Saccharomyces cerevisiae S288C: one gene and its partner. Each later gene encodes a partner of the first gene's protein in a complex. Each region holds a gene or a part of one and is shown on either strand. Other genes may lie near its edges. A codon is read from its position in the direction of its gene.

Evidence for each region. Proteins that work in one complex are often made in the same cells at the same time.
Region 2: the proteins of VID30 (region 1) and GID8 are in contact, whole or in part, in a cryo-EM structure (PDB 7WUG), measured with the Saccharomyces cerevisiae proteins. Residues at the interface, in NP_011287.1 of Saccharomyces cerevisiae: Leu35 (codon at 1,610), Glu528 (codon at 131), Tyr529 (codon at 128), Ala530 (codon at 125), Lys531 (codon at 122), Ile557, His558, Leu559, Gly560, Lys603, Trp604, Ser606, Leu607, Tyr609, Glu610, His611, Ile612, Cys613, Arg614, Leu681, Gly682, Glu683, Asp684, Arg686, Phe687, Leu692, Val693, Arg694, Pro695, Val697; in NP_013854.1 of Saccharomyces cerevisiae: Phe27 (codon at 1,675), Thr28 (codon at 1,672), Tyr29 (codon at 1,669), Lys31 (codon at 1,663), Lys32 (codon at 1,660), Cys33 (codon at 1,657), Phe34 (codon at 1,654), Lys36 (codon at 1,648), Trp39 (codon at 1,639), Gln42 (codon at 1,630), Val43 (codon at 1,627), Tyr46 (codon at 1,618), Ser47 (codon at 1,615), Gly50 (codon at 1,606), Leu52 (codon at 1,600), Tyr53 (codon at 1,597), Pro84 (codon at 1,504), Glu86 (codon at 1,498), Thr88 (codon at 1,492), Leu89 (codon at 1,489), Pro90 (codon at 1,486), Leu92 (codon at 1,480), Leu93 (codon at 1,477), Tyr96 (codon at 1,468), Phe97 (codon at 1,465), Tyr102 (codon at 1,450), Glu103 (codon at 1,447), Asp104 (codon at 1,444), Ser105 (codon at 1,441), Arg108 (codon at 1,432).

The regions. Positions count from the first base shown.
Region 1 is NC_001139.9:67,630-71,382, reverse strand, and holds the start of VID30 (glucose-induced degradation complex subunit VID30), read right to left. Parts: upstream 1,713-3,753; coding exon 1-1,712. Other genes in the region: SHE10 (She10p), read right to left, coding at 2,052-3,753.
Region 2 is NC_001145.3:538,304-542,056, forward strand, and holds GID8 (glucose-induced degradation complex subunit GID8), read right to left. Parts: upstream 1,754-3,753; coding exon 386-1,753; downstream 1-385. Other genes in the region: ERG29 (Erg29p), read left to right, coding at 1-248; GAT2 (Gat2p), read left to right, coding at 2,896-3,753. UniProt on the Saccharomyces cerevisiae protein: Component of the GID E3 ligase complex recruiting N termini and catalyzing ubiquitination of proteins targeted for degradation.

The DNA.
Region 1 (3,753 bases):
AATTCTAGATCATTCAAGTCGGTGAATGCGTTACCTAAATGGATACCATTCTTCGTGAAAAAAATTGAGCCATCGATAAAATTTATGCCACAACCAATAACGTCATCCCTACCAAAAGGCTTAGCATATTCCTTAGATTGTTCTGTAGAATTAGTTATCAAACCGTCAAATCCGCAATAGCCAAATACATTAAGATCAAATCCGTATTTCTGACACTTATTTATGGAACCATCCACGTTAAGAGACATGGCTGAAACGCCCCCTTCATAAATATAATCACGCCTTTGAGTACCTTCCATAGTGAAAGAAGTAGAAGGTACTCTATTGGAACTCATGTTATTACTACCACCTAAGCTACTACTAGAACCGGCCACGCTTGAACGAGAAACACTCTTTTTTGTAGTCGCTTCCATTAATTCATTCTCTACTAACTTGTATCCGATAACAATGTTACTATTTTCAGCACTCTCTGTACTCGTTACACTGAGAACTTTAATCTCGTAATAGAATATAGTTAACTTATTGTCTGGCAATGACTTATTTGCCCAAGTGACTGCAAAGTCCACTTTCCCAGAGTTCTCAAAAGAGGTTCTCAGTCTATTTCTGGTAGAGGCAGAAGAAGCGCTTGATCTTTCATAAGTCATGTATGAGTGATAATCAGGATTAGGTTGTAAATGAGTAATACCATCTTGAGATAGCTGCAAGCTGTTATTTGGTTGAGCTTGCCATCTAGAAGGTAAAAAGTACCCAAGTATTTTGTAAATATCAGGGATCATTGAGTTTTTCTTTTTGCTACCACTGTTGGACAAAACATTTGTTGCCTCATTGTCATTTTTGTCGTTACCAGACGATACTCTAGGAGAAGAAAAGGAAGAACTTGGAGACTGATCAGGGGGGTAGTATTGTAGACCACTGTTCTTGTCAGATGTATCCCACAAATTCCTTGATTCTGTTTCTATATTAATAGCTGATCTAGATCTTTGATATATCCATGGGTCCGCAACCCTTTCGGCACGCTGCTGTGCACTGGACACATCAGCATCAGCTCCTCTACTTCCTTCTTCTCCACCTTCCTCGTGATTGTCAGAGCCATCTCCTTCGTTGTTATCGTCCGTGTCAGTATCCACTTCCCCTTCTAAGCTTTCCAGATCGGATTCATCGTCGTCGTCGTCATCGTCATCGTCATCATCGTCATCATCATCATCGTCATCATCATCGTCATTTCTGTCATTTTCCAGGCTGGTATTAGAGTTAAGCGCCATTTCACGTTCGGATAAAACGGGTTCTAATAGTTCCTGAGCATTTTTCCTCATGTCTGAGGAAGCTTTCATAACTCGCACTGAATTTTTATTTGAATCTTTAACACCAAATCTCAAAGTAAAATCATTAACGTCTGGATAGAAATATTTATAGACTTGAATCAGGTAATCGTCGTTGACAGCTTCAAACGAAATTGTGCCTAGAACACCCAAATTCATCAATTTAGACCAGATTTCTTTCCTTGTTAAAGCAGTTAACTTTGTCCTGCCCATTCCAACGCCAGTGGGATTTTCATCAGCGTTGATTAAGTTAGTGTTCTTCAGTTTGTGAAAGAGTTTTCTATGTTGCAAATATAAAATCCATAAATCATAAGCCACAGGCTGTTGCAGCAAGTAGCTCGGGAACAAACAGTTAATGAATTCGCGGTCTACGTCATCCATATATTCAGACATTTCCTCTTAATTATGCTGAAATTCGACGCTTGGCTTTAACGTACTACTAATATTTCTGCTATAACAGTAACAGTTCTGGTCCAATCCTTTGGCTCTTTCTTTTGGTTGATCGATTCATCAGTTCCCTCCCCTGAAAGGCTCGCGCGTCCTGTAATCTAGCAAAAATAGGCAGGATACAAAATACAGTGGAGTGGTAATATTATATTCTTATATGGCTATATATGTTTATATATAAAGGTAAAGACAAACAATAAAGAACATACATATATATATAGATAGATATTGTGTGTGTGTGTGTGTGTGTGTGTGTGTGTGTGTATAGCAAGCGCATGAATTTCATCACAATGTCATGGTAATGGTTGTGGTGATGGTCGAAGTAGAGGTGTAGGATACGTCTTCTTCGTCTTCTTCTTCCTGTTGTCGTAATAGCTCCTGCTGCCTTTGGAACTCTTCTGCTGCAGCTTTTTCACGCTCTTTTCTTTCACGTTCCTTTCTTTCACGTTCCTGAAATTGCAGGTTGGCTTTCGATCTTAGAATATACAAAAACTCACCACTCTCTTGAGTGAACGATAATATCTTCTTTTGCACTTTTTGCCTAAACGCGTTAACACGGGATAAGTCAGCGGAATGGTGAGCCAGCTTGTCTCTAGATTCTATGATCTGTTTCTTGCCCTTCAAAAACTTCTTCCAGTTAACAGAAGACTTTGCTTTCTCTTCATCAAGCGTAGTGTCATCATCTGCACCCATGTGAGCGTTGATAACATCCACATAAGCCATTCTTTTGGACCATTCATTTACAATGATATCACCCCATTCTTCAAATACCTCGACGTTTTCCTCTCTAATTGCATTAACTTTTTTTTCAATTTCATCAGTGATTTCGCTCAAATCTTTCTCCATAGCATTTGTCAGTTCGTCTAACGTCGAGCGCGTCTCGTTGAAGTACTCACGAACTAACTCTCTCGTTATGTACTGAGAAATCTCAGTACTTCCAGATTTATCGAAGAAAATTTTCTTGCCAGTTTCACTATCAATGCCTTCCACACATTCAATATCGTTAATGGCTAGCGAAATCTTGGAGAAGAACTTCTTAGATTTATCATCTAAAGATTGAAACTTGGCTTTAAAATGGTTGGCCTCCTCAACCAATTTACCATTGATGTATTTGGAAACATCCTTTTCAAATAGCTGTATGACGTCTTGTGTTTTCTGCAATATAGTCTCACTCCACATGTCAAAATCCTCTTGCAACAGAGCCTGTTCATTGACATTGACGTCTGTGGAGCCTTCAACGTCTGTGGAAGCCTCATCGTCGTGCGCATGATTAGCAACAGCGCTAGCCTCTTCCTGGTCCAAAGTAATTGTTTCAACCACTGTTTGAGTACTTGTTGTAGTTAGCTCCTCTTCGTCAGACTCCATAGTACTTACGGTTAAAACCATGTCCTCCGAGGAAGGCTCACGTGTGACAGAACCATGAATGCCATGCGTGTCCTTATTCTTGAACTTTCCCATTAATTTTTCCTCTGTATTACCAACAATAAAGTCGTATTTGGATTTGATGCATCTTGAAGTGATAGTAAAGTAATAATGGCCTATATTTTTATACTTTAAAATTCTTTCCTTCAAATGAGAGCGAAACTCCGCAGTAAAGAATTTGTCTAAGTTAGGTTTCACAAAAGCATTGTATTTTGCGAAGAAAAATCGTCTAGTCTTGACCATTGGGGAGCGGACCAATTGGTAATACTTTCCACAGTTCCATTTCTTACATTGTGAATGGATGACCTTGAATGCAGGCTGTATAGCGACCTTGTTCACTTTTACTGTAGCGTCATCGATGACAGGTTTGACAGCCGTGTCATATTTACGCGCCACTATATCGAAACCGGGACTAACTTTATTTTTGTATAATTCACAATTTCTTGAAAAGTAGGTGTTCCAGACTCTTGGATTGGTATAATGGCAAAGCGTTTGCGTGCGTTCACACGATATGCTCCCACTATTGAATTCGCAACAGTACTGAAGCAACGATACCAACACCGTC
Region 2 (3,753 bases), on another chromosome or scaffold:
GACCTGAGTTTGGTACTACCTTGCGTGTATTGAGGCTGAGACTTTACCACTACTTTAAAGATTGCGAAATATATCGCGATATAATTAAGAATGAGGGCGGTGAAGGGGCAAGAAAGTTTACGATTTCCAACGGTGTCAAAATTTACAATCATAAAGATGAACTACTGCCATTGAATATCGATGATGTTCAATTATGTTTCCTGAAGATTGATACGGGAAACACGATAAAATGCGAATTCATACTATGAAAGCTTCCAAAAAAAAAAAAGAAAAATCAATTGCTAAATGCATACATGCAGGTAGGCACACACACACACACACACACACACTCACTCACACATGCACACGCACACACACATATATAAATATATACGTACTATGTATGTCAGTTTTCGACCCTAGGAACCCCTATTTGGTTGTGATGAAGCTGATTTTCGCACCAACACCACAGTTTCATTATCTGCGTCAATCTTGGTTCATAGGGAAATTCGGAAGAGTAGTAATTATTGAATTCTAAACCTTTTTCCTTTCCATTTGAAGAGGAAAGCAATTCAGAAGTTTGATTCCAGTAATTTTTATTTTCTAAGTTATGAAAAGTTGTCGCCGCTGAACCTGTGCCAACATTTCCATCCCTTTGATTTAGCCAAACTGAATTAGCAGCAGCCGTGACCTCGTTGCTTGACATCTTTTCGTTGATAGGTTGGTCAGACGAAATGTGAGTTATTTTTGTACCATTTGAACCATTGACGAGATTGTTGTTATACACCGTGAAGTTCTGCGTAATTATTTTCTTGTCGGAATTTAACAAATCTGGAAATTTGGAATTATTATTGCTGATCTCAAATTGAATCCTTGGATGAATAAACTTCAGCAGCTTCTCATTAACCAGATCTGCTATCTTAGATCTTAGAGATATCGAGTACAGATTTTGTAACGATTTGGGCAGCTTAATGCTGCCGCTGTCCGCCGAATCTGACAAGGGGAAAAGCAGCAGAGTCATTGCTAATTCTAACTCTTGCATCTTTTTGACACTTGACGAAGCCTTTATTGCAAGTTTATTTTGAGAATACTGAATTAGATTGAGTATAAAGTCGTTGGAATCCTTGGTGATGTTCTCCTGTTGATGGTGACTTCTTATCATCTCGATCAAATTCAGTAACAGCAGTTTGAAGTGTAAATCTCCATCTATGTCAAACTGCTGCTGCTGCTGCTGCTGCTGCCTGTCAGTTCTACCCGTATAACTTCCCGTAGCATTGAAAGTCTCTTCCAGCACCTCCAGCCCGAAGATAGAGTTTATCTCCTCCATCGCCTCATTGATACGCCCCAGCTTAATAAGATGTTTGATATGGAAACGCTCCTTGATCTTGTACAAATCATTGAAAACCGCAATGTCTTTGTTGTTCCGTATAAATCCCAGCTCCTTGGCCATCCTAATGCTCGAGTCTTCATATGCCATAGAAACAAAGTAGTTCAACAGAAGCCGTGGCAGTGTGGGCTCTATGGGTGTGGTCTGTATGGTAGCAAATCCCTCGTCCTGCGAGCCGCCACTGCTGTTGGGCTGAATTTTCAGCGGATAATGTATTGTCTTATTTGCATATAGCTCGCCCATGGCAGAATACTTGGCCACCTGCTCCTTCCATTCTTCCTTCGTGAAGCACTTCTTTCCATACGTAAAGTCTTTCCCACCATTCTTGCCTTGGCCGCTGCAAGATCCGCTCTTCGTGGTCTCGTTACTAAGAGTAGATATAGTCATTTCTATTTGTTACCACACACAAATATATCTTCATCCGGCTGATATTTGTCTCTACTGCCCCTTTGCTTGCAATTTAATGACCAAATTACACATGTTAGCTTCAAGAAAAATGATGTACCATCAAAATGTCTCCTGCAACGAACCGGGGCACCGCGCCGGCAGAGTCAGGAAAGCGAGATCGACACTGATAGTGATAAACAGCAACACAATGGAGCGATTACCATTCACTCGGAACGGATCCGGACAACAGTCAAATAAACTCCGGGATCCCAAAAAGGGCCGTACACACAAACCCAAGCCGAGCGAAAAACACAAAAAAAATAAAACAGGGAAAAAAGGAGCGCAAGAGAAAACGCACAGGAGTAGGAGCAGCAGAAAGGGGAACTAATATGGTTTTTCCGTTTGCTTATTTTTATTTTTTTGTTGAGTCATGGGCACGTCACCGCACAACAGCCGCCGCAGGCCTGTACCGCTACGCGTCTATCACTGCGAAACATCGCTACTTCTGTCGCCGCGTCGACGCTGGTCCAGACCACAAAAGGATGCACGATCAGAAGCACTGTACCCTGCAGAGTTGGAGATAGTGTAACCGTGACTTCATTTTTCAAGCGTGGTTTCACATTCTTTTTGCACCGCCCTTATCTCAGATATAGTTTCGTTCGGTTGCTTTGCTTTCCCCAACTGAAGGTGCTGGATGGCGGTTTTTCCGGCTGCTGCGATTTTCCCTGCGCGGGGCCCGGCGCGGAATTGTGCAAAAGCTAAAACTCAACGGTTATTTTGAAATATAAGGTTATAAGCAAATTTCCTAAATTTGCTTAATTGTTAATGCAGTTGTTATTGCATTAAGACATTCGGCTATCGTTTCCTTTCTTCGTGTCGGCAATCTTGTATAAAAGTTATTTTTTGAGTTTCAGTTTCTTGTATATCTTGGTATATATTGAAGGAGGATTTTTTCTTTCCTGGTCCTTTTACTTCCTTGCGTCCCCTCATATTTCTTCTATTTCCGTTCACGGCGTTTTTTTATTTTCTCCATCTACTTTTAGTGATTTCCTTTGCTCTAATATTGTTTTCGTTCATAGTGAATTGTTTGTTTTCACTTTAATAAAGGGCTTTTACGACTTGTCTCAAAAAATTTCATCGAGATGCAAGCCCCCAATATCTACCCCTTCTCTCAAACACAGCCACAAGCACTGCCCGGGTTCACATACGGTCCTCCACAACTTGTTTTTGACCATTCTGCTCCGAGAGTAGATCCTTTGCATTCTACTGTAACTATAAATTCTCCATTACCCTTGCAGCATTATAATGGACCGAATGCCCATATAAACAGCGCAAACAACAACTACGCATACTACTATCATCATCCCAACAATAATGATAACAACAACCATAGTAACAACACTATAAAAAATAACAACATTAATTCTGTTCTTCCCGCCGTTAATATTCAAATATCCAACAACTCACATTATAGAAATACACACCAAATTCCTTCTGCTCCTCAGCGGCTGGTCAGCATCATACCGGATCCCCACATGCCGCCCAATATTTCTCACTTTCAGCTAAATAATATTCACCCTCAAATGCATGCTCCTGTTGCTACTGATATTCATTTCCAACAAGTACCAGTTTACAATAAAACCAATAATGGCATTGGTACTGATAACATTAATAACGATAAACCCGTAAACTCGAATCAGAATGAAGTGCTGGACAATATTGATGAACGTTCCTGTCATGAAATTAACAGGGTAGTTTCATTTTCTAAACATTTTGAAAACAACGAACTTACCACTACAGCAAATGATCTAAACATTCAATCTACTATGGATGAATTAGCTAAACTGAAATCTTTATCAAATTCTACCCATTTCAGGCAGAGTATTGCTACTCAGAATTTCCATTCTTTACAAAATCATATCACAACCATCGAAAACCGTCTGGCTTCTTTACTTACTGACAGACAACAAGAGCAGCAACAGTTGAAGCAGCAAGAGTCT